6 linked regions of the Oryctolagus cuniculus genome follow. The protein of the gene in region 4 interacts with the protein of the main gene of each other region in a pairwise test. Links are inferred from orthologs where the notes say so. Each region holds a gene or a part of one and is shown on either strand. Other genes may lie near its edges.

What was found. The genes of interacting proteins can lie anywhere in the genome.
Region 1: the proteins of USHBP1 (region 4) and SYNJ2BP interact in binary tests that used the Homo sapiens proteins (3 or more experiments, as listed by UniProt). The two-hybrid records come from large-scale screens. The link is inferred for Oryctolagus cuniculus from reciprocal best matches to the Homo sapiens genes USHBP1 and SYNJ2BP.
Region 2: the proteins of USHBP1 (region 4) and FAM110A interact in binary tests that used the Homo sapiens proteins (3 or more experiments, as listed by UniProt). The two-hybrid records come from large-scale screens. The link is inferred for Oryctolagus cuniculus from reciprocal best matches to the Homo sapiens genes USHBP1 and FAM110A.
Region 3: the proteins of USHBP1 (region 4) and CNNM3 interact in binary tests that used the Homo sapiens proteins (3 or more experiments, as listed by UniProt). The two-hybrid records come from large-scale screens. The link is inferred for Oryctolagus cuniculus from reciprocal best matches to the Homo sapiens genes USHBP1 and CNNM3.
Region 5: the proteins of USHBP1 (region 4) and NECAB2 interact in binary tests that used the Homo sapiens proteins (3 or more experiments, as listed by UniProt). The two-hybrid records come from large-scale screens. The link is inferred for Oryctolagus cuniculus from reciprocal best matches to the Homo sapiens genes USHBP1 and NECAB2.
Region 6: the proteins of USHBP1 (region 4) and PRC1 interact in a two-hybrid assay, tested with the Homo sapiens proteins (2 studies listed by BioGRID and IntAct). The link is inferred for Oryctolagus cuniculus from reciprocal best matches to the Homo sapiens genes USHBP1 and PRC1.

What each region holds. Positions count from the first base shown.
Region 1 is NC_091451.1:16,186,463-16,190,711, reverse strand, and holds the start of SYNJ2BP (synaptojanin-2-binding protein), read left to right. Parts: upstream 1-1,449; 5' UTR 1,450-1,572; coding exon 1,573-1,636; intron 1,637-4,249. UniProt on the Homo sapiens protein: Regulates endocytosis of activin type 2 receptor kinases through the Ral/RALBP1-dependent pathway and may be involved in suppression of activin-induced signal transduction.
Region 2 is NC_091442.1:26,831,846-26,835,806, reverse strand, and holds the start of FAM110A (protein FAM110A), read right to left. Parts: upstream 2,801-3,961; 5' UTR 2,563-2,800; intron 1-2,562.
Region 3 is NC_091433.1:110,906,312-110,910,469, reverse strand, and holds the start of CNNM3 (metal transporter CNNM3), read left to right. Parts: upstream 1-1,358; 5' UTR 1,359-1,401; coding exon 1,402-2,623; intron 2,624-4,158. UniProt on the Homo sapiens protein: Probable metal transporter.
Region 4 is NC_091447.1:65,254,492-65,258,230, forward strand, and holds the end of USHBP1 (harmonin-binding protein USHBP1), read right to left. Parts: coding exon 3,643-3,739; intron 3,516-3,642; coding exon 3,379-3,515; intron 3,193-3,378; coding exon 3,052-3,192; intron 2,976-3,051; coding exon 2,820-2,975; intron 2,728-2,819; coding exon 2,478-2,727; intron 2,253-2,477; coding exon 2,028-2,252; intron 1,395-2,027; coding exon 1,297-1,394; intron 1,120-1,296; coding exon 997-1,119; intron 744-996; coding exon 548-743; 3' UTR 501-547; downstream 1-500.
Region 5 is NC_091449.1:65,750,950-65,754,982, forward strand, and holds the start of NECAB2 (N-terminal EF-hand calcium-binding protein 2), read left to right. Parts: upstream 1-1,233; 5' UTR 1,234-1,812; coding exon 1,813-2,046; intron 2,047-4,033. Other genes in the region: OSGIN1 (oxidative stress-induced growth inhibitor 1), read left to right, coding at 1-281. UniProt on the Homo sapiens protein: May act as a signaling scaffold protein that senses intracellular calcium.
Region 6 is NC_091443.1:100,286,682-100,290,862, forward strand, and holds the start of PRC1 (protein regulator of cytokinesis 1), read left to right. Parts: upstream 1-1,381; 5' UTR 1,382-1,589; coding exon 1,590-1,600; intron 1,601-4,181. UniProt on the Homo sapiens protein: Key regulator of cytokinesis that cross-links antiparrallel microtubules at an average distance of 35 nM. Essential for controlling the spatiotemporal formation of the midzone and successful cytokinesis.

The DNA.
Region 1 (4,249 bases), on a different chromosome or scaffold from region 4:
TCCATCCCACTAAAACATGGCATATTCTATGTCTCTCTCATAGTTAAATATAATCATGTAATAGGCTTCTATTCAAGGAGATACAAGAAATATATGAAACTTCCAATAGGTTCTCTTTGCCATTTCATTCCCTTCTTGAAATGTGAATATGAAGGCTGAAGTTCCAAAAACCATCGTAACCATCTTGGGCCATGAAGTAAAGGCCACACTCTAAGGATGAGAACTGAAGGGGTTATAGAAAGATGAAAGGAATCTGATTCCTTGGTGACTGAGGAGCTCCTCTATTAGCCTTTGACCATCCATCTCTAGTTCTTTACTGTGAATGAAGTACACTTCCATCTTAGCCTAATACATATAGAATTAAGTGTGTATCACTGCTCTAATCTTCCATCCTTAGCCTATTTTTCCCAGTAGCATCAATTTGTAGACTTTGCCCCACTCTCTATTCCTTAAATTTGAATGTTTATGTATATATATATATATCTTCCTTTTAAAAAATAAAAGATTTATTTATTTGAAAGGCAGAGTTACACAGAGAGAGTGAGAGGTCTTCCATCCGCTGGTTCACTGCCCAAATGTCCACAACAGCCAGAGCTGGGCCAATCCAAAGCCTGGAGCCAGTAGCTTCTTCCAGGTCTCCCACACAGGTGCAGTACCACTGGGTACTGCTTTCCCAGGCCACACCAGAGAGCTGGAACTTGAAGTAATGCCCATATAGAATGAGGACACTGCAGGCGGCCACTTTACCCATCAGGACACAGCACCAGCCCCTTAAATTTCTTAAAATTAAATAAGGCTTTTGTCAGCAACAATCCAGGAATCTTTTACTTAAGGTCCTGGGAACCATCTCTTCCCAATGTTAATATCAGGGAAAACAGTGCTCCTATCTCCTCTTACTATGGAAGTTAACCCAAGTGGTTTACACTAATCTTTACGCAACAGCTTGTCATACAGAGAGCAAAGTATTACTTTTCCTTTGCTAACCTGTATTAACTAACACAGAAGGCCACCCCAAAGGTGAACCATCAGAGAGTGGATAACAAATGGTGTTGTCAAGTCCTCTATGTAAGGACAAGCATGTTATGGTTTGTACCTACTTGGCTTATACGAGATTTTTCATTTTGGCAATCTCATCAATGGATTGCCTGTAACGTCCATCCCAGTCTAGTTTGATGCTCACAGAATAACAAAATTTTCTTTTCTATATTTGTGGAAATTTTGAGATGCCAAGATTCCTTTTAGATTTTTCCTCAGCAATATCAATTTCTTTACGTCCACTACCTTAACTAGCCTCCCTCCACCCCAACCTTACTTTTCCCAAGTACTTTCGCCGGTCAATAACTTGCGGCTTGCTGACCTCACAGTTTTCTCGGAACACTCAACGAGAGAACACAACCGATCGGCTGTGAGAACCACGACTCCCAGCATTCCGAGCGCTCTGAGCGCGGCGCACTTCCTCTTCCGGCCCGGAGGCTGCGCGAACCGGAAGTGCTGTTCTTAGACCGCAGCGCGGAGATTGATTCACCTTCACCTGGGCAGAGCCCCAGCTGAACCGAATAGGAGCGGTAAAACATGAACGGAAGAGTGGATTACTTAATCACCGAGGAAGAAATCAATCTTACTAGAGGACCCTCAGGTATGTGCGGAGCGGGCTGTCTTTGGGAGTAGGGGACTTGAGGTGTGCCTTTGCAGAGCAGACCCTCTTTTTGTTGCGCCGGATTCACCTGGCCTCAGAGTAGGCAGGCCCCAACGTAGGAGGTTAGGAATGTTGAAAGAATATATTGATATCCATCATTGGCTAGATGACGGGTCGGATTACAACACGTATTTCTAATCTGGAAAGATTTCTTTTTGCTCATGGTGCTAGAGAAGCCTAGAATAAAACCCGCTGTTTAGCCAGCATTCCGTGGACACACTCTTCCTTCTATTACCTGGTCTCTCCTTGTTCCTTGGAGGATCGTTTAGCCAAATTGGGAACGTAAACTATGTGACCGCTATATTCAAAAAGCTGTACCTATGGAATTTGTATTTATTAAATAAAACGATTCTTAAAAAAACAAAAAAAAACAATGTGAACTCTAAATAAATGCACAGATGTTCTGGTGCCAGGATTCCTTCCTCATTTCTGAGAAATTAGTATATAGTGTCAACTAGACTGTTAAAGCAGGAAGACGCTTTAGAGATCTGTTACAGGAGTTTCCAAACTTGGTTCTGCTACAAAACTATCCAGGCTTTGTTTTTGTTTTTGCTTTTTTATGCTAGTATAAAATTAGAATGCTGATTTCTAGTTCTCATTTCTAGAGATTTGGATTCAATACGAATTTGTTTTTAACAACTTACATGATTCTGATACAGTCAGATCCTTACACCTTCTGTACTCCCCCCTCCCCCAGATATTCCTTCCCTAGACTGAGCTGTTGACATTGCTACTCACTGCCTGCCTTGGACTTGGTTGGCTTTTTTTTTTTTAGCAGTTGTTGAGTTTATTAAGAGCTTTAACCATGGAATTGTACTATCTAGGCACAAAGCTTGTTATCTAACCGCTTACTGGTTCTTTGGTGTATTTTTTTCCACTGAGTGACATTGGTGCCTTAGTTGCTCATCTGTTAATTGGAGGTGATTATAGAATACAATATATAGTTTTTGAGAATGAAATTAATTAATTGATAAAACATCTAAATATATTTGTAAAATAATTAGAGCATTGTCTGACACACAGTAAGCAGTATGTATTTGCTACTACTGTTATTTTTATTGGGTGAATGGCTAGATTTGCATGGTAAATGTTATTGAAAAAGACCCTGTAGAAATCATAAGCCCCATGTGCTCCATCTAAAAATGTTTCTAAAATCCTTTTTTCTGTTCCCAGTGCCACTATCTATAATAGTTAATCACTTTTCTCATCTGGAATTTTGCAGTAGCTTAATCACCACTGACAGATTATCCTTTATAAAATATGACTTGCAGAACTACCTATATTTTGTGTCTTTCTTTTTGTTATATAAAATTGGAAGCTGGTCTTATGGAAATATAATTAAGCAGAGTAACTAAGCCCCTTGGATTCTTTCTTCCTATTTTATAAAATTTTTTTATTTCTCTTACTCAATACTTACCGACTTTAAAGCTAATATGGAAAGCTAGTTTTCAACCAGAATCTGTTTTTCTGTACCTTTCTGCCACTGGTAATTGTTTTTCATATAAGGCTAATTAAAACTGTGCTAGTTCCTTTTCTGATTGCCCTGCACTTATTTTCCCTTGCTTCTACTTTGCCTGGTCTTCCTTTAGCCTAAATATCTTGTTGTAACATTACTTTTTGTGATATTTGAGTTTGGGTTCTTGATTCTTGCTTAAGAATTTAATGTACTTGGCAGTGACATCTGCATCATTTCTAGAATCTCCCAACTAGAGCTGAGCAGAATCTTATTCTGGGCACTAAATAATTTAAATTCAGTATAATATCACTAAATCATTTTTGGCATTTGCAAAGCAGTGTTGCCTAATATTTAGTTCACCATTCACCACAACTTCTGAGTCTGTTTGTCTTGCAGATATAAAGTTCCTAGTGTTTGTATTTTTCAGAAGCATTGGAGTTAGGGCAAACTTCATGGGATTAATTAAAAGAAATTCTATCTAGCTAATATATTGCAACCAAAAGTGGATTAGTTTTTGTATTGTATGTGAGTTTATCCACAGGGTGGTTTCTTGAATTTTCCTAAACATTTTCATGTCTTAGTCACAGAGCCAGGGAACTTATGAGGAGGGTCAAACCACAACTTTAGGATTGAATATGGATAAAAACAGTTATTTGCAATTTGGTTTGTTCTATTAGCAAGGAAAGGTTTCAAGTTCCTATTTATTTCTAGAATTGGTATACTGGTATGTGATACTCTTGGTCTCAGATCTAATTCAGCTTTTCTTCATAGTGTTGTCATGAAGATAAACCACGAAGAAGTCAATAATCATCGTTAGAGTCCTCTATGTAATTTTTGTAATTCCATCGGGATCTTTCTTTCTATAGGAAGAATATGAAAAGTCTCTAACTACGTATACATTTTTTACAGTGAGCAGCATGGTTATTTGTCTTTATACAGCTTCCTACCCTAAGACCTCATCATTTAATGAAGGTAACTACAAGAAAGTGTGTACTGCTCTGCTTTTGTGCCAGTGATCTGGGATATTTCCACTGTTTATGCCCATTTTGCAAGGCAAATTAATCTGTTCCATCTAATCCTCCTTACTACAAGGAAAA
Region 2 (3,961 bases), on a different chromosome or scaffold from region 4:
CACTTGTCAAGTGCTTAGCACATAGTCAGCGTTCAAGTGGTGCTGGGAACTTTGGTCCTCTGTGGAGTGGGCAGGAGGCCCCTCCCCTTCCTTCCACCTGCTTCTCTCCTGGCCTTGGGTGCAGACGGTGAGGCCCTCGCCTGCCCCAGCAGAGGATCAGCAAGGCTCCAAGCAGTAGCAGCCGCAGCTCGGTTTCAGCCCAGCTGTCCAGGGCAGAGACACCCGGCTGGGCGTCCTCCAAGGCCACGCTAGGCCTCAAGCTATTTCTGGAGGCTTCCCAGACGCTCGTGCCCTGGCCTGCCCAGGAGCCGGCCTTGCCCTCGTCTCAGGAAGGCAGAGCCGAGCAGGCTGTGGGAGGGGTGTGGGTGTGGATGCCCAGGGCACTGAACTCCTGCCTGGCCTGCCCGCATGCCCGCCCCCAAGGACCCAATCTCCCGGGCCTCAGTTGGCACCAGAGGTTGCAAAATGAGGACAGAGGGGCTCGTAGTGGGAATGGAACGAGAGACACCACACACAGGGCCTCGGGGAAGGGCCCGGCCCAGGATGCGGAGGCTGGCCGTTGAGGCAGGCGCACAGCCAAGCCCACTTCACGGCCTAGATTGCCCTCTGCTCAGACCTGAGCTCACCATCCTGGCTTCTCATCTCAGCCCAGAGATGTGAAGAAACTTGCCAAAGTCACACAGCAAGTCAGAGACAAGTCATACAGAGTGACGGTCTCATGAGACACGTGTGTGTGTGTGTGTGTATGATTATTGTTTTCAATGAGGTAATGCATGCACATGGCTCAAAATTCAAACTATAAAGGAAATAAAGTTAAAAAAAAAAAACACAACTCCCTCCACCTCTGTCCTCACTACCACCACCCCCCACAGGCACCACTGGGGCCGGAAAAATTTTAGGCAAAACCAAGCAAGTATGAACACTAATGATTTCCTTTGTACACACATGGCACCACGCTGCGTAGACTGTTTTCACCTGCTCTTCCTTGGCGCACAGTATGTTGCTCTTGCTGCCACGTCAGTAGACAGAGCGTACCCCCCCCCATTTGTTTCCCTGGTCCCCACTGACAGCCACTGTCACCAACCACGCTGCAGCGTCACTGCGCCTACATTTTGCCTGAAATGGGGCGGCTGGGGCCAAGGGATGCATTGGCGATTGCAGCAGAGATAGGACCGCGTGCCCCAGGAGCCACACAAGTCTGTGCCTCACCAGGGGAACACACCGGTTCACTTCACTTAACTCCATGACGGAGATCACGGCCACCGCAGGAAGTGTGTGCCAGCGATGCATGCCTCCTCCCAGCCCCCACCTTCATCGCCTTCTACTGGGAGAAGATAATCAACTCGCTAGCAAGCAGAATTTATAGGACACAGGACAGAGCAAACGAGGAAAATGAGACATCAGGGGAGGGTAGGACACGCAGTCAACAACCACTTCCCGAGGGCAGGCACTGGGCACAGCAGTTCAGCCGCCACTTGGGACACCCACAGCCCATACTGAAGTACCCACCCACGCCCTAGGAAGTAGCACAAGTGCTTGGGACTCTGCCACCCCCGTGGGAGTCCTGGATGAAGTTCGGAGCGCTTGGCTTCAGCCTGGCCCAGTTCTGACTGTTGTGGGCATCTGGGGAGTGAACCAGCAGATGGATGATCACTCTCTGTCTGTCTCCCTGCCTTGCAAATAAAATGAAAATAAATAACTATTTGTGGAAGGAATGGATGAAAGGCTTTTCTTTCTGAATTTTCTGAGCTCTTCTCCCCAAAGCCAGGAAACGGGTCCAGAAGGGAAGAGAATAAGTAACTCTCTTGTGATGAGATTCAGGATTCGAATTCTGCAGTTCTCTGAGTGGAGGATTCTAAGACTGAAGCCAGATGGACCAGGTGACTTCGGGCAAGGAGCCTACCTCCTTCAAGGAGGAAGCTGTTCCCCCACCTACCAAAGGAGACCAACAAGAGCAGGTGCAGGGAGAGGGGTCCCCAGGAGGCAGAGCAGGGTCTGGCCCAGCTCAGAGGCTCCACCTGGAGGGCCCCAGCCCCAACCCCACCCCCAGTGTTTAGGGACTGCTTCAACCCCTCTCCCGACCCCAGGCAGGTTCCCAAGAAGACAACAGCGTCTCCGAGGGTTCAAGAATCTACTGCCCACTTGGCATCTATCCTGGAAACGTCGGTCCCCTCCCATCCCCAGAAAGAGGGCCCTGGGAGGGGGTGTTGGGATTCAGAACCCCCGACAGCAGAAGGGCCCCAGGCGCGCTGGGTCTCCTGAGGACGGTGCCGAGTGGGCAAGGTAATCCAGCCAGGAGTTCAAGGGCCGTATCCGTGCCGAGGACAGACTGGGAAAGCAACCGCCGGTTACCTCTGGGCCTCTCAAGGCAAATTTGCACCTGCCTAGCCTTAGCGGCTGCGCAGGGGTAAAAAAAGACGGCCTAGGACCCTCGTCCTTCTGAGTTTCAGCTTCCGTATCTGAAATGGCACGCAGATCATACGCGGGGAGGACGCCCGGGAGCGCTGGGCGGACGCAACTCCCAACACCCGGGCTCGCAACCGGGACCACCCCCGAGCTCACCTGGAGCCCGCGCTAGGCGTGTGAGGTTGACAGCTCGGACCCGGGCCGGGGGTGGCCGCGCCCAACGCAGGCAGGTCCCAGCCCCGCGCGGCGACCCGCAGGAGCCTCTTCGGAGCTGCGCGCGGCACCTGAGACGCGCAGGTGTCCCGGTGTTTCCGAAGGCCTCCCCGGAGCGAAGGTCCCCGGGTCGCGGAGGAAAGGGAAGTGGGCCCGCCGCTCCCCACCCCGCAACTTCCCCGGAATGGTTCGCTCCGGACTTCCTGATTGGTTCCTCGCTTCCGTTCGAACGCCGCGGCGCCCAGGTTGCCAAGCGACCGCTTAGCTTCGGCTGCGCGCTGGAGGCGACTCACAGCCCCGCCCCTGCCGGCCCGGTGTCCTCCCGGCGGCTGCGGGAGCTGGCGCCTGGCTCTTTTCCTGTCTTCTCCCTACTTCTCGGGTTAGGCCTTCCTCTGGGGATCCAGCTGGAAATGGCACTAGTCGGGGCCTCGGGCAGGTTCCTAGTCCTGTCTTTGTCCCTAATTTGCTGTGTGACCGCAGACCTGTCCCTGTCCGTCAGAAGAGAGGTCTTTCTAAAACCTTGCATATCCGGCCGTCCCGAAATTTGCAAAGGAAGTGGCTCCAAACTGAGCAAATGTCAGTAGTAACCCAGCAGTAGTCGGCTTAGTGAGATGATGCGGAAACAGCAGCGCTTATCAGGAGGTCTGGTTACGCAAATGCACGCTGTGCCAGTGGCTTCGTGTAACCTAACCGCGGCAGGGCCCGCGTCACATCCTTCGCCACGGTCTGGTGAGGAACAGTATGCAGCCACCAAAATGATGCACTTAAAATATATTTAAAGATATGGTGAAATGCTAACGGAATGTTGAATTATTAAAAGTTGCTTCAAAGTCCTATGCATACATATTATATGTAACCGCAATATGTATATATGCATAATCACATAATAATAGTAGTTAATTTCTTTTTATTTGAATGTTTTTGTTGTACATTTTTTAAAAAAAAACTTTATTTATTTGAAAGGCAGAGTCAGAGAGAGAGAGAGGAGAGAGAGAGGTCCTCAAAATGGCTTTAATAGCTAGGGCTGCACCAGGCAGCAGCCAGAAACCAGGAACTCCATCCTGGTCTCCCATGTGAGTGGCAGGGGCCCGACTCCTTGGATCATCTTTTGCTGCCTTCCCAGGCACGTTAACAGGAAGCTGGATGGAAAGCAGAGTAGCCAGGACTTGAGCCAACACTCCAGCTGTGGGATGACAGCATTGCAAACTGCAGCTTAACCCACTGTACCACAAAGCCAGGGCTTTGCGGGTTTTCCTAAAGTCCATCACGTGGACTTGTCAAGAGGGGGAAAGAAAAAAAAAGACATTTTTAAGGGCACTAGACTAAATTCACCCTCCAGGCC
Region 3 (4,158 bases), on a different chromosome or scaffold from region 4:
AGTTTTTCACAAAATGTTTCCCCCTTGGTCAGACTCATTTTTGCACATTACTTTCCACACAGATATGTTTCACTTGATTGTGGCCACTCTGCGTACTTTTTAATTTTTTAAACAATTTTTTTTAAGTTATATGACTGGCAGAGACAGAGAAAGAATCTGCCATCCGCTGGTCCACTCCCTAAATGCTGCCAACAGCCAGGGCTGGGCCAGGAGGAGGCCAGACCTGGAAACTCAATCTGGATCGACCCATGTGGGTGGCCAGGACCCAAATCCTGGAGCCATCTTGCTGCCTCCCAGGGTGCAGATGATCAGGAAACTGGGATCGGGAGTGGAGCTGGGACTCAAGTCCAGATGCCTATATGGAATGTGGTGTCCCAAGGGGCTTCTTAACTGCCATGCTAAACATCTTCCCCTAAACTTATAAACTGTCGTTTTCATGACAGAGCAAGTTGGCACGGGGCTATCCGCCTTAAAAAAAAAAAAAAAAAAAAAAAAAACAAACAAACAAACAAAAAAAAAAAACACCGCAAAAGTGTAGAGAAGAAATAATACAGCTCAGCTGCAGGGGCCAGCCTGAATGCAGTTAGACTAGAAAGGCCGTGCGAGTTTCTCGGCCTCGGACTGACGGACTGCCAGGAGCCGGGCAGGGATTCCTGACATCGCGGCTACGGCGGTGGCGGTGGTGGCCGGGGCGTCCCGACGCCTCGGAACCCAACACGCCCGCGGAGTCTTCCTGGACTTCGCCTTTCTCCTGTCAGACACTAGTTACACCGAGTAGCTGTGAGGATCCAGTGAGGCTGGGATCTCGTGTGCACGTTTCCACCACACGTCTCCCCGGCGGGAAAGCGAGTTCCTTGAAGACAGGGCCTGTGTTGGCGTCCCGGGGCCTACAGCCGCAGTTAAACCTCGGCACAACCCCAGCCGCTGGTTCTGGCTCCCAGGGCCCGTTCCTAGGAAAACAGCACGCTCCCACTCGCTTCCATCTCCGTCAGCAACTTCAGGTACGCCGGGACCCGCGGCTCAGGCGAGCACCCGCTCCCGCTCAGTGCTCCAGTCCCGAGCAAGGGCCCGCGGCTCCCGCGAGGCCTCGGGACGGGTCGGAGGCCCTGCCCGCCCCGCCACGCCCCAGCTCGCGGCTCCGCGTCCTCCGAGAGCCGGCCACCCAGTGCCTTCGGAGCGGCGGCGGGGCTCGCTGGGGCGGAGAACCCCACGCCCCCGGCCCGCCCCGCGCCGCCGCTTGTTTACTCCCCGGCGCAGCCTAGTCCGACCCTAGGGCCCGCCCCCGCCCGCCGTCTATTGGCCGAGGGGGCGCGAAGGCCGGTCATGATTGGGCCGCGGGAGGCGGAGGCCGCGGGACGAGCGGGGTAGGCTGCGCGAGAGGCCGAGAGGGGGCAGCAGGCGATGGCGGCGGCGGCGGCGGCGGCGGGTCGGCTGGGCTGGTTGTTCGCCGCGCTCTGCCTGGGCAACGCCGCGGGGGAGGCGACGCCAGGTCTGCGAGTGTTGGGCTTCTGTCTGGAGGAGGACGGAGGAGCGGTGCGGGCCGCGCCGGAGGCCACCTTCCGCCTGCGCCTCTTCGGCTCCGGGTTCGCCAATAGCTCTTGGACCTGGGTGGCCCCGAAGGGGTCGGGCTGCCCCGAGAGTGGGTCGACCGCGGCGCCCGAGGAGGAGGCGGGGGCGGCCCCCACGGACGAGTGGCGCGCGCTGCTGTGCCTGCGCTCCGAGACCGTGCGCCCGCACTCGGCGCTGCTAGCTGTGCGCGTGGAGCCGGGCGGCGGGGCGGCTGAGGAGGCGGCGCCACCCTGGGCGCTGGGCTTGGGGGCGGCCGGGCTGCTGGCGCTGGCGGCGCTGGCGCGGGGCCTGCAGCTGAGTGCGCTGGCGCTGGCGCCGGCCGAGGTGCAGGTGCTTCGCGAGAGCGGCTCGGAGGCGGAGCGTGCGGCGGCGCGGCGACTGGAGCCCGCGCGGCGCTGGGCCGGCTGCGCCCTGGGCGCGCTGCTGCTGCTGGCCAGCCTGGCGCAGGCGGCGCTGGCGGTGCTGCTGTACCGCGCAGCCGGCCAGCGCGCCGTGCCCGCCGTGCTGGGCTGCGCGGGGCTGGTGTTCCTAGTGGGCGAGGTGGTGCCGGCCGCCGTGAGCGGGCGCTGGGCGCTGGCGCTGGCGCCGCGCGCGCTCGGCCTCAGCCGCCTGGCGGTGCTGCTCACCTTACCGGTGGCGCTGCCCGTGGGGCAACTGCTGGAGTTGGCGGCGCGCCCCGGGCGGCTGCGCGAGCGCGTTCTGGAGCTGGCACGCGGCGGTGGCGACCCCTACAGCGACCTCAGCAAGGGCGTGCTGCGCTACCGGACGGTGGAGGACGTGCTCACGCCGCTCGAGGACTGCTTCATGCTGGACGCCAGCGCCGTGCTGGACTTCGGCGTCCTGGCCAGCATCATGCAGAGCGGCCACACGCGCATCCCCGTGTACGAGGAGGAGCGCTCCAACATCGTGGACATGCTCTACCTCAAGGACTTGGCCTTCGTGGACCCGGAAGACTGCACGCCTCTGAGCACCATTACGCGCTTCTACAACCACCCGCTGCACTTCGTCTTCAACGACACCAAGCTGGACGCCGTCCTGGAGGAGTTCAAGCGAGGTAACGGCTGGGGCACCGCAGAGGGGATGTCCGTGCCCGAGCTTGGCCCTGGGGAAGGAGAGGGGGCTCATGGGGCCGTCGGGGAAAAGGCCCCACTCCTGGAGAGGGCAGGGGGCCCTCTAAGGGCCGGTTTTAAGAGGGTGGTCGCGTTGCAGATGGGAATGACCTTTTAAAGTGTTTAAGGACCCCGCCCTTCAGAGGGGACAGAGTGCCATGGAACGCAAACACCTCTCTTTCTCTCTCTCTCTCTCTCTCTCTCTCTCTCTCCACGGTGGCCCCCGTGTTGGGGACATACCTCTCACTGATTCTAAACCTCCCGGGTCTTCCCGGCTCCCAGGCCATTTCTGTTGTGCCTGGGGTCGGATGTAGCAGATTGAAACTCTTGGATAGAAACTAAAAGGACACGGAGAAGGTGGCTTCCAGATCCGGGCCTAGCTGCCCCTGTGGTGTCCCCAGGGCGTTGGTGGGGTCCCTGGCTGATGGCTGTTTTTCTGAGTGACAAGGGCATGACTCATCAGTACTCCTCCTTTCCTACAGGTATGGAGAGAACTTTCTCTTTGATTTCATCAGAAGCAGCTTCGTGGATGCTGATTTAATCTCTCCTTCCCCTGACTTCCCCTTTTTTTTAAACCTCCCCTCAGGGTCTCTCAGCTTCTCCTCTAGCTCCTTTTCACCCCTCCTTTCAACCCTGGCTTTTCTGAGTGACTCCAAGGTTGAAGGTAAAACAGGCCCTCAGCGTGTGAAATGTGGGTCCCTCTGCAGCCGTCTGCATTGTCAGCCTTGGGGGTGCTATGTGCTTCTCTCACCTGAACTCCCGCAGGATCGGGGTGGGGGCACCCCGTGCTGTGGACGGGCTGTTAGCACGTGAGCAGAGCCCTCCGACAGCCCTGGCAGGAGTGACCATGGTCCTCCTGCACTGGGCACAGCCTCGGGCCAAACCCTGGTAGGTGCGTTGCACTCCACATGTCTTTTAATTCTTGGACCCACAGCTGTGTCTGGTCTGGTGGACTCTCTGGGGGCCCTGGCTCCTTCCCTTCAACGTGGCCATGCAGCCCTACTCTGGGGAGGGCTTTTGTGTGGGGCCCAGACACAGCGTGCTGGTGGCAAGTACTCTGTCTAGATCCCAAACAGTGGGCTCTCTCGAGGCGTGGTGGTCAGCAGTGTGGCCCTGGAGTCAGCCAAGTGCGTTCCATCCTGCCTGGCCTGCACTGTGCTCCTGGGCCCAGGGAAGGCTGCCTGCCTCTCCCGGCTCAGGGTCCTCAGTGGTTAGCGATAGGAGGGGTAATGAGAGGATCGGGGAGAGGAGATGCGGGGCGCCGGGGCCTGGGTGTTCGTTGCTAGGAGGGTGATGATTGCTCACGGCTGGGAGCTCTGCAGATGGGTAGGTTCGCCTACTCCTGGGGAACCAGTAGCAGAGGTCACACTGCAAGTGCAGGCTTTATCCCTTCTGCGTAGGGAACTTGTATAGAGGCCACAGCTGTCCCTTTGATGGCCTAAGCTGTCACATTTCAAGGTGTCTTAAATGCTCGGCTCAC
Region 4 (3,739 bases):
AATCAGTCGCCTGCAATTAACCTGGCAGGAACGCCTCCCGCTGCCCCCAACCTCCGCGGGAGATCTGGAAGCTCCCAGGCTGCCCAGGGCCCGGCAGGCCTGTGCCCCACCCCCTCCCCGGAAGGACACGCATCGAGAGTTCCAGACTTTTCTCTGATGCCTGCCCTCAGCCTCCACAAACCCTGATTCCTCTTCCAGCCGACCATCCACGCCTTGAACCTGAACCTGAACCCCAACCTTGGGGGCCTCCAGTTGTTCTGGATTGTTCCCTGGGAAGCAGATGGGCAGGGGACGAGTGTCCTGTCCCCAGGGGCCCGCCCTGGGTTTCTGGACAAAGAAAGGACTTGGGGACATCAGCTCGGGCTCTGCCACCTTCCCTGTCCCCTGGATTGATTGTTCCGGGTCCCGGGGGGGGGAGGGGGAGACCATGACCTTCACAGCCTGACCCCGGTGGCCCAGGCAACCGGTCCCCACCCATGAGGACACATGCACCCCAGGGCGACAAGTCACTCCAGGCCGGTTTATGACACGTGGCTGGGGGTGGAGCCTACAGCAAGGTCTCCCCAAGCTGGGGGGGAGGAGGCGGGCAGGGGCACCCGGGCTGTTCCAGCGCCCGGGCCGTGGCTTCCAGTGCTGCCAACTCCTCCGCCTGCCGGGCCTCCAGGATTGCCACCTGCTCCTCCAACTTGCGCCGCTGCTCCTCCTGCTTCCGGTGGGCGCCTCTGAACGCCAGGACCAGGGCACTGCAGGGTGTGGGTGGCTGAGCCGGGGAACAGCGCCCCACCCCAGAGAACAGCACCCCCACCCCACCCAGGGCTGCGGCGGGGGCGGGGCGGGGCGCCGCGGGGGCGGGGCTACGTCCTAGCTGGCTCCGGGCATCCTGCAGGAAAGGCGTGGCCTGCACTGCACCCGCTCACTATCTTCCAAGTGGGGGGAACGAGGCCCAGGGACACACCCGCGGTCAGCAGGGGTGGGCTGCGGGGGGCGGCGGCCCACCTGTGCGCCTTGCATAGATCGCTGTTCAGCTCGGCGCTCTGAGCCCGCCGGACGCGCCCCTTCTGAGCCACCTGCTCCAGCTCCCGCCACAGAGCCCGCAGCTGAGCGCGAAGATCCGCGGCCCTGGCGCGGGAGTGGAGACAGCGGGGCTCCGGCCGCGGCCCGACCCGGTCCTCCTCTCCGCTCCCCACGCCCCTGCGCGCAGGCGCACGCTGCCACACCACACACACACACACACACACACACACACACACACGTCCCCACCCCCGCCTCCTCCGCAGAACCCACCCAGGCACACACCTGGCGAGCGAAGCGGCCAGCTCCTGGGCTAACCTCTCCGGGTCCCACGCCCTGCCCACCTGGCCTCCCTCGGTGGCGTTGGGGACAGCAGGAGGACCCTGTAGGAGACAGAAGGGAGGGAGGTGACCTCTGTCTAGAAGTGCTCAGCCCAGCCTGGGCATAGAAGCTGGCCTGGGGGGGGGGCAGCCAGAGCCCCTCGCTTCCCAGAGCCCCCATTCTGCTAAGAGACCCTCAAGTCCCTGATAAGGGAGATAAGTCACAGGGCCGGGGTGGGGTGGGGTGCCGAATATTGCTCCTTTGAGGGCAACCCAGGAGGGCTTCCTGGAGACGGTGGACATTCCTGGTGGCAGCACCGGCTTGCAGGTGGGAGGGGTGATGCGAAGAGCCCCGTTTAGAAGCCTGGGGCAGGGGCGGTGTGGTGGCACCGCGGGGCGGGCTGCTGCCTGGGACAGCCGTGGCCGTATCAGAGTGTTGGTGGCGTCCCAGCTGATCTGCGTGCGCCCCAGCTCCCTGCGCATGCGCCCCCTGGGAGGCAGGGGCCCACGACTCCAGGGCTTGGGTCCTGCCGCCCACGTGGGAGACCCGGATGGAGCTCCCGGCTCCTGGCCCAGACCCGGCCTTTGCAGCCATGTGGGGAGTGAACCGGCAGATGGAAGACCTCTCTCCCTCTCTCTCTCTCATCCACTGAACCCCTAGGGGCCAAGGGCAGCGACCCCCGAAGGGCCGCTCACCTGGGGCCGCTCCTCCTCCTCCTCCTCGCTGCTGCCCGCCCCGCTGCTGTCCCCCGCGCCGCTGTGGGGCCCCGCGGCTCCCAGCTGCGCGCGCTCCCACTGTAGCTGCTCCAGCAGGAGTGCGTGGGCGGGGCCCTGGGCGCGCAGCGCCGCCTCCCGCAGCTCCAGGCCCCGCTTCTCCCGCCGCACCAGCTGCAGCTGCAACATCAGGTCCGCCAGGGTCTCCTGAGGGGTCGGGGAGGGGAAACTGAGGCTGGCGAGCACGTTTGGGAAAAACTGGATTGAGAGGTCTGTGAGTAACAAAACTCCTATTCATCCCTCAAAACCCCAGCTTCAATTCTCCCTCCAGGAAGCCCTTCCCAGCCCAGCAGAACCTTTCCCCCTCCCCATCCCAACCACACCTCTGTCGGTTCTGACCCCCCCCCCCCAGGGACCACAGCCCCTGTGTACCCGTGTGGCCACCAGTTCCCTCTGTATCTCCATCTTCTCCAACCGCGGCAGGGCCGGGCCGGGCTGGGCTTCCAGCATGGCCTGCACCATGGCTTCTGCGTGGGGCATGGTGGGCGTGGGCTCCACGGTGGGGCCCGGCTCTGGGGGGGTCTTCACCAGAGCCTGGCGCTGCCGCAGACGCCGGGCATAGCCCTGCAGCAGGGCGGCCACTTCCTGCGGTGTGGGTTTATCCACACTGCTGCCCTCGGGGCTGCGGGAGGAGAGGAGGAGTGGGTGCCGCAGGCCATCACGGAGGCCAGCCCCGGGGAGCCCCAAGGCCCAGCGCGGTCCCCGGGCGCCTACCTTGGCTGTGCCTTCCGCGGTGCCGCGGCGTCTGCGCCGCCCTCCTCCTGTGCCAGCAGCCGCCACGCCTCCCTCTCAGTGGCCTCCAAGTCCCGCGCTCCGGAGCTGGCCTCGTGCAGGGCCAGGAGAGCCGCGCACACGGCCTCACGGTGCTCACTGCGGGACGGGGGTCCTGAGCGCCCTCCCACGCCGTGGCTCGCGGCCCCTCCCCCGCGGGGACCTCTCCCCTGACCTGTCCTGCAGCGCCAGCCGCAGGGCTGTAGCCTCGGCTTCCCGCTGGCTCAGCCGCATGCTGAGGCTCTCACACCGGCCCTTGCGCCCTTGCAGCACGGCCAGTAGCAGCCGGTTGAAGCATTTGAGCTTCTCGATGTTTCTGTCTCGGGGTGGGGGAGGGAGAGGGAAAACGAGGGGACTCTTTGGAGGGGGGGAGCAGCCAGGGGCCAGTTTCCACCCCGCTCCTACCCCGTTTAGACGCCCATCCCCGGGGCTTAGACGCCCATCCCCGGGGCGGCAGGACAGCGGCCGGTGCCCTTAAAAGCTCAGCAGTGGTGGCGCTCACCCGCGGAGCTGTTCCATCTGGGCCTCCAGGATCTGCATCTCGGGGGCCAGGGGTCGCGAGGGGAGAGAGCCCAGGATGTGCACACTGGAGTCACTCCGGATGCGCCGGAGCAGCGGGTGAGCCAGGGAGAGGGAGTCCTGCAGGGAGGACGTGTGCCCTGAGCCAGCCAGATGGCCACCGAGAACCCAGGGCCATGCAACCCCCCAGAGCCAGGATCCGGGTCTCCCCTGCCTGGATGCTGCGGGTTGCGCCTCTCGCACTCACCTGACCCCCCCAGGGCTCCCCATCCGCCCCAGAACTGCTAGAACCACTCCCTGAGCCTCCAGCGTGGCTGTGGGTGCGCGGAGACAGGGGCTCCAGC
Region 5 (4,033 bases), on a different chromosome or scaffold from region 4:
CCGTGCTCGGCGTCTCGCTCGTGCTGGTGCTCATCGGCTCGCACCCCGACCTCTCCTTCCTGCCCGGCGCCGGCGCCGCCCTGGCTGTGGAGCCCGCGCAGCCGCTCAGCGCCCGGAGGAACCCGGTCGACGTGGACCCGTTCACCTACCAGAGCGCGCGGCAGGAGGGCCTGTACGCCGTGGGCCCGCTGGCCGGGGACAACTTCGTGCGCTTCGTGCAGGGCGGGGCGCTGGCCGCGGCCAGCTCCCTGCAGAAAAAGGAGGCGGGGCGGCCGCCCTAGCGCCGGCCCTCGGCTCGCAGCAGCCAGGCCCTGAAGAGGCGGGCGGTCAGCGCGGCCCGAGCGGGAGCCCCGGAGCGGCAAGCCGGCCTCTGCCCGCAGGAGGCGGCAGGGGCCGTGAGCCCAGGCGACCGGCCTTCCGGGTCAGAAGCAGTGGGGAACTCACCCTGCCCCGGCTTAGCCCACGGCGGGAGCGAGGCCACAGCTGGGCCACACCTGGGACGTGGGCGGGAGGCTGCCAGCAAGAGCGGGGGTCGCCAGGGGCCAGCAGGGCACCCAGCCACGAGGACTCCGGGCCCCAAATAAAACCAGTGCCTGCCTCCACTCCTGAGGACTGTGCTTGGCGAGGCGGCTGGGTGCACAGCCCTGGGCGCAGGGGAGGGGGTGGGGTCCTGGAGGAGCTGTAGGGGAGGGGGTGACAGGGGACGGGGCCCTAATGTGGGGGCAGTTGATTGGGCAGCTGGCTGGAGCCGCCTCTCCCCTCCCACCCTGTTCCAGCCGCACTGTCTGCTTTCAGGCCCTTCCTGTGGGCCCCAGGGCCTTTGCACAGCCCCTTGAGCTCCTGCCTTCCGCTCTCCCAGCGTAAGGATCACTCCCTCTAGGGTTGAGCTCTTGCTGCTCACTCATCGGCGGCATCATTTCAGGGGCCGCCTCTGCCCACGTGGTTGGGAACAGTCCGTGTCTCCGTGTCTTTCTTGCCTGGCACCAAGCAGGAAGCCTTCGCCCGCTGGGTTCTTCGGCACCAGCCCCTCAGGGGTGGGGTCCCTTCTCCGGCCAGGGGCCACTTGGCTATGTATAACCTCAGGTTAGCCTGCTGTAGCCGCAATTGCAAATCCCACCTGCACTTGCCACGCTTGATGTCTGTGGCCGTGGGGCGGGCGCTCCCCACTTCCGCTACAGACGATGGGCAGGAGGGGAGGGCGCTCACAGGCGTGGGGGGGGCAGGTGCACGAGTGGGTGGGTAGTGAAGAGTGTGGGCGCGTGGAGTGGCAGGGAAAGGTGCTCTGGGCGCCCAGAATGGAAAGGGAGGTCCGAGGGGGCGGCAGCCGGGCCAAGGGGATGGTGGCTGCCCCCCCCCCCAGCGGCGCGGAGCAGCAGGCGCAGGGCGCGGGCCCCTGGAGCTGCAGCCAGCAGAGGGCGCTCCGGCCCCTGCAACGGCGCCACGAGTGGGAGGAGGGACTTTGGGGGGTAGCAGGAGACTTTCAGGAGGTAGCCCCCGGGGAGCACCCCGCCCCCCAAAACCTACCCCGGCGCTGCGGGAAACCCCTCCACCTCCGGGCCCGCTGGGGTCACCAGGCCGCGCCCCGTCCCCGGCCGGCAGCCCCCCCCCGAGGCCGCGCCCGGCTGGCGCGGGTGGGGGCGGCGGAGCCGGGCACGTGGCTCGGGGTCCGGGCCCCCCCTCCCCCGCGCCCGGCCCCGCGGTGTCCGCGGCCTCGGGGACGGAGAAGCGGGGCGGGGCGGCGCGGGGAGGGGGTCGTGCGGGGGCGGGCGGGGGTCGGCGGGCTTCCGGGCGGCGGCGGCGGCGGCGGGCGCGATGTGCGAGCGGGCGGCGCGCCTGTGCAGGGCCGGCGCGCACAGGCTGCTCCGGGAGCCGCCGCCGCAGGGCCGGGCGCTAGGCGGGCTGCTGCGCTGGGTGGGCGCCAGGATGGGCGAGCCCCGGGCGCCGCTGGTCCCCGACGCCCCCGGCGTCCCCGCCGCCCCCGCTGCGGACCCCGGCCCCGGCCCCGGCCCCGCCGCGCTGCGCGGGGGCACCGCCGTCATCCTGGACGTGAGTAGGACCCCGCCGGCACCTGACGCCCCCTTCTCCCCGCGGGGGACCCCGGCCCAACCCTCAGCGCGCCCCTCGGCGTCCCAGAGCGCGAACTCCCGGCCCCCCCCCGTGTCGCGGGTCCCCCTCCCGGGACCGAGACGACCCCCACCCCGTCCCCTCCCTCGACTTCCACGAATCCGCGCCGTCCCGGAGCAGGGACGCGGAGCCGCTGGGACACCGCCCCCCGGCTTTCCCCCAGCGGGACCCTCACCCGCGGCCCCTCGTTCTCTCCGTCCCGTGTCCCTGCCCCGAGTGCTACTTTGGAGAAGCCCTGGCCCCCAGCTCCGGCTGCGAGCCCTGCTCCTGTCGTCCCGGCAGCTCCTCGGCCCCCAACGTCTGCTGGAAAGTGGAGCCCCCTCCCCACGTCCCTCTTCCGGCTCCCCTTCCACAGCGCCGGAGCGTGGTCCCCGGGGACTTCCCCACCGGCTGGCTCTGTGCCCCTTGGGGGTCTCCCAGACTCACCCTTCACCCACCCACCCCGGGGCACCTCCTTCAGAGTGGGAGGAGGCGCAGGGGGGGGGGGCTCTCCGTGGGTGGCAGCGCAGAGGCTGGACTGGGGCGTGGGTGCATCCTGCGTGGGTTTGGGGAGGGGCGTGGCGTTTCCCCCGGTGGGCGAGTGGGGTCCGGGGTCTCTTCCTCCTCTCTCTACACTCCTGGAACCCAGGCCGGTCTAGGTGGAGAGGGCCGGGCAGGGCAGGGCAAGGCAAGCCCCAGTGTGAGGAACCCACCCACCGGAGCACCGGGGGCTGCCCCCTCACCCGCAGCTGGTGGCCCCAAGACCCTGCGGGATGGGGGTGCGGGCGGGCTGGGAGCCTCCTGTCCCTCATCTGCCAAGGGGGAGATGACCGGGGCAGAGGTGCCCGGCAGGGGCTGGAGCCAGCGGTCACCCAGGCCACACGCGGACCTCGGCCAGATTCCGGGATGCCCAGGTCAGGCCGCAGCCTCACGGCAGCTTGGGCACTCAGGAGCGGGGGTCGTGGGCCCAGGCTGGCTCCCATGGGGGCCTGGGTGGGCTGAAGACCCGGCGCTGCTGCCTGGGCCACAGTGCCAGGGTCCCGGGGGCCATCCCAGCCCCCTACCCCCAGTGCCGGTTAGCCAAGGAGGACACGGCGGCTGCGCCAGTCCTGCTCAGACCCCCTGCTGCCTGCAAACACAGCAGGGAATTTGGGGGTGTCAGTGCCCCTCCCCCGGCCTCAGTTCGTCTTGGCTGGACTGAGGTGGGGGCTGCTTTCAACCCCGGGACCCCTCTCAGGCGGCAGGGCACTGGGAAGCCTCCCCAGGGTCCTGGTTACCATGAGGGCTGTGACTCGGCGGCCCAGCCCTCGGGGTTTCTCCCAAGTGCCCAGGAGCGGCAGGTGCACCAAGGCCTTCGTGGCCGCAGGTGTTAGCGTTCGGCGCCCAGGTGTTTGGTGCCCAAAGGGGAGGGACCCTGGCGTTAGAGCCCCTTCTGGGCTCTGGCCCTGCGCGTGCTGCACCTTGTAGGGTGATCCATGGCTCTGCCCTGCGCCTGCAGGTGTCGCCTGGTCTCGAAGTTCAGGCTGGGGTCTCCTGTCTGTGCTCCGGGTGGGCTGCTGCTGTCAGCTCCCCCACCCAAAAATAACGCCCTCCAGCCCATGGCTGATCCTCCCTCACCGCCTTCGAGGCTCCCAGCCTCCATGGAGACCCCCGCGGCGTTCTGAAAGGAGAGCGTTGGTAAAGCGAGGGGCTCTCCGAGGCACCGTGTGGCTGCGTGCCCAGCGCCGGGCAGTGGGCGAGCTGGGAGGGCCGCGGCCGGCCACCTGCGGGGATGCGTGTGGGTGTGAGCGTGCAGGCGCACGCCGGCTCTGAGCATGGCTGTGGGCAGGCTGGTGCCACAGGAGGGTGTGGGGCGGCGGGCGGGGTGGGGGCTCTGCCTGCAGCCTCCCTCCCTGCCCCTGGGTCCCGGAGAGGCTGGAGCTGCTCTGGG
Region 6 (4,181 bases), on a different chromosome or scaffold from region 4:
GCCCATATGGGATGCTGGTGCTTCAGGCCCCCAGAGTGCACATTTGAGTCCAGGCTCTGCTTCTGATCCAGGTTCCTGCTAACGCACCTGGGAAGGCAGTGATCAGTCCCAGCTACTGAGGGTACCTGAGGAGTGAACCAGCGGCTGTAAGATCTCTCTCTGTCTCTCCCTCTCCCTGTAACTGCCTTCCAAATAAATAAATCTCAAAACTAAATTGCATAAAATAATTACGATGTAAGTATCAATAGCAAAATAGTTGGATTATGAAATAGCCACATGCCAAGATACTTAGGGAAACTGACATATAGGCATTTAGGGATGTAGTCTGTGTTCTTCAGAAATGGAAGGTACAAAAGTATGGTGATACTGGTTTTGTTGTGAATTTTTTGCATGTAACAATTATACGAGACTACAAAAAGTTTGTAGAATGTGGACTTATAAGTTTATTCTGGTGCAAAAAATTGTTAGAAAATATGTATTTTTTTTTTTCATAATACACATCTGTGAACTCCCCAAAACTTTCTGAATCCTTTTTATTTTTACTCATTCGAAAGGCAGAGTAGAGGTAGAGGGAGACAGATCTTCCATTCACGGGTTCACTCCACAGAAGCCCACAACAGCTAAGACCAGGCCAGGCCAAAGCTGGAAGCCTGGAACCCCACCCGGGGCTCCCACATGGGGGCAGGGACCAGACTGCTTGAGCCAACCTGCTGTTTTCAGGGTGGGCACTAACCGGACGCTCATGTGGGCAGAGCTGGGACTGGGGTCCAGTCACTCAAGATGGGGTGTTGGCTTAACGCCCGCACCTGCGTTCGCCTTTTCAGTCCATTTCCCACGAACTTTGTTACGTAACCAAAATGAGTACATTGCCTGCAGCCACCTAAAGGCAAAAATAAGTAAAATAAGGGAGTCCCGAGGGAGCTCAAACCTAACTCCCCGTCAGCCCGCTTAACGCTGCCACGTTTTCAGTAGCTCTCCTAAGGCAGGGGCTGTGGTGGGCGGCGGGGCGGGGGAAGCAGAAGGGACTTCTGACTAGTGACTTTGGTTCCTCTGTCCAGCAGAGTTACGTGCGATAACCAGAGTGGAAGGGACGTGCTCCTCCCCTCCCCTTCCGGATGCGGTTTCCTACATCTGGGCAAGATTCCATCAAGGATCAGTTCCCAGGTCTTCCGGAGAGACCAGGGAAACAGGATTTTCCAATAGGTCACCTCCGCCGCCCGCCGGCGGCAGGTAGCCACGGGGCATAGCGCTCTCGCGGCTGCAGCCCGGACCCGGGGCTCGGAGGACGCCGGGACGGCGCCGGGCGCACGCGCAGTGACCTCAGACCCCGCCCCGAGCCCTGGCGCGGGTTCACGATTGCGCATTGGCGGCTCCACGCCGCGGGGCGGGGCGGGGGCGGGGCTTCGCGAGGAGCCGCGGGCTGCGGCGCCAATCGCCGGGCCGCCCCGCCTCACGTCTGGGTTTGAAATTCCGCGGGGCTCAACGGCTCTCAGAGTGGCGACTCGGAGCGAGGTTGCCGGTGTTGCCTGCGCTCGGGCTGTGGTGGAGTCGGCCGGGGCCTCGACGCCAGGCTGCGTGGAGCGTCCGCCATGAGTGGGAGGTGCGAGTTGCGGGACGGTCGGAAGGGCTGGGAGGGAGCGACGCCGGGCGCGGGTCCGTGGGCCGGTGCCACGTCCGACGGACGCTTTCGGCCCCGGAGTAGGGGTCCCCTCGGTCCGCTCGACTGCGGTCGGGGGGCTGCGCGGCGGGGCAGGGCGAGCCGGCTGCAAGTGCGGGGCGCGGCGGGGTTCACGTGTGCGTGGACGGGGAGACGGCGAGCCCGAGGCTGGAATTTCCTGGTCGTTCCAGCAGCTCCGCAGGCGGGGCTGGCCGGGAGCGGGGGTCCCCTGGAACCGGTCCGCAGGCGGGGCTGGCCGGGAGCGGGGGTCCCCTGGAACCGGTCCGCAGGCGGGGCTGGCCGGGAGCGGGGGTCCCTGGAAACCGGTCCGCAGGCGGGGCTGGCCGGGAGCGGGGGTCCCCTGAAACCGGTCCGCAGGCGGGGCTGGCCGGGAGCGAGGGTCCCCTGGAAACTGGCCGGGAGGGAGGGTGCCCTGAAACCGGGCCCGGCGGCTGAGCCTTGTGCCAGGGCAGAGGCGGAACGCAGGTCTTCTCGCTACCAAAATGATAATATCCGTGCGTGGACTAAGTGCTGACTGTACTTTGTGAAGACAGTGGCAGAAGCCTTAAATTCAGCATTAAATAATCAAACTGGTAGCTCTACAGCCTTTTCTGATTGCTAAACGGATCCGTGTTTTTCCAAATGCTTGCCCTGTTGGAGAATAGAATCGGGTAGAAATTACCGGTGCTACCGAAGGACAGCAGGGTTAGGGTGCTGTGGGTTTAAGCTAGTGATGGAGTCTTGATTGACATCCATAGGAAAGGCTTACTCGCAGTCCAGGTACAGTTACAGGCTGTTCAGGGGCAGGTGAAGGGGTGGGGAGAGTTATCCATTAACTTTGGTTCCAGGCTGATGGGTGTAATTAGACTTTAAACTGGAATCACTCTACTAAACAAGCCAGATTTGGGGCTACATCTGGATTTCAGGTAATCATATATACTTTTTTAATTTGCAAGGCCGAGAGAGAGATCAATCCTACCTGCTGGTTCACTCTCCAGTGCCCACAACACCAGGGCTGGGTGGAAACCAGGAGCTGGAGTCATCCAGGTCCCACCTGGGTGGCAGGAGGCCATGACCACTGCCCAGGGTCTTCGTGAGCAGAAAGCTGGAACAGGGGAGCAGACTTGGGTTTTGAATCCAGGCACTCTTATATGGGAAGCAGGCAGTTTTCCTCCTCACTTGAAAGACAGAGAGAGAAGGGGACAGAGACTGGTTCACCCCCAAAATGCCTGCCACAGCTGGGGCTGGGCCGGGCTGAAGCCAGGAGACCGGAACCCCGTTCGGGTCTCCTAAGCAGGTGGCAGGGACCTGAGCTGCTGCCTCCCAGGGTGCACATTCACAGGAACTGACGTGGGCTCAAGCCTCCCCAGATGCCTGGCCCAGGGATTCCTATTTGGAAAGGAATATGAGAAACAGGCCTCAGAAACATGATGGCCAGGGGACTGCTCGCGGAGTTAACGGCTGGCTGTGCAGGATGGAGAGCTGTCCAGGAGAGACTAGGGCCGCGGTGGTGCCGGCTGCCTGGAAGCAGGGCGGCGCTGAGGGCTCGGCTCTTCCAGCCGGTGACTCATGGCCGAGACTGAGACTGGGAAAGCGGACTCTTACAGCGCGGCACTCTTGGCACCGTCAGGTTTGCAGAGATGTGTTCTAAGAAGACATCCCAGATTCACTCCTTTCAGGGAAGCACTGAAACCGGTCAGCAAGGCAGTGTGGCTGAGCAGCAGTTGTGCACAGTGATCGCTCGGCATCTGAAGGTCGCTGGACTTCTTTAAATTGTCAAGTTAGCCATTCAATAATCTTTATTTTTTTTTTAAATATTTATTTGAAGGGCAGAGTTAACAGCCATAATGGCCAGGGCTGGGCCAGGCAGAAGCCAGGAATCAGGAGCTACCTCTGGGTCTCCCACGTGGGTGCGGGGGCCCAAGCACTTGGGCCATCCTCTGCTGCTTTCCCAGGCACCTTAGCAGGGAGCTGGATCTGAAGAGGAGCAGCGAGGACTTGACCCAGCGCCCATATGGAATGCCGGCATGGCAGGCAGTGGCTTAACCCATTATGCCACAGTGCCAGCCCCTCAGATAACATTTCCTGAATGTCGTGTACAAAGTATGATTCTAAGTGTTAGGGATATAGCCTTGAACAGAACTTGCCTTTATCGTTTACATTCTTTTTGTTTGTTTTTTGAGATTTATTTATTTATTTATTTGAAAGGCAGAGTTACAGAGAGAAGTGAGAGAGCCTCCATCCGCTGATTCACTCCCCAAGTGGCCACAGCGGCCGGGGCTGGGCTAAGCTGAAACCAGGAACCTGGAACTCCACGCAGGCCTCAAGACCCACGTGGGTGCAGGGGCCCAAGCACTTGGGCCATCTTCCGCTGCTTTCCCAGCCACGTTAGTAGAGAGCTGGATCGGAAGTGGAGCAGCTGGGACTCAACCCGGTACCCACGTGGGATACTGGTGTTGACAGACAGCAGCTTAGCCTGCTAAGCTGGGTGGATGATCTGGCCCCATCATTTACATTCTTACAG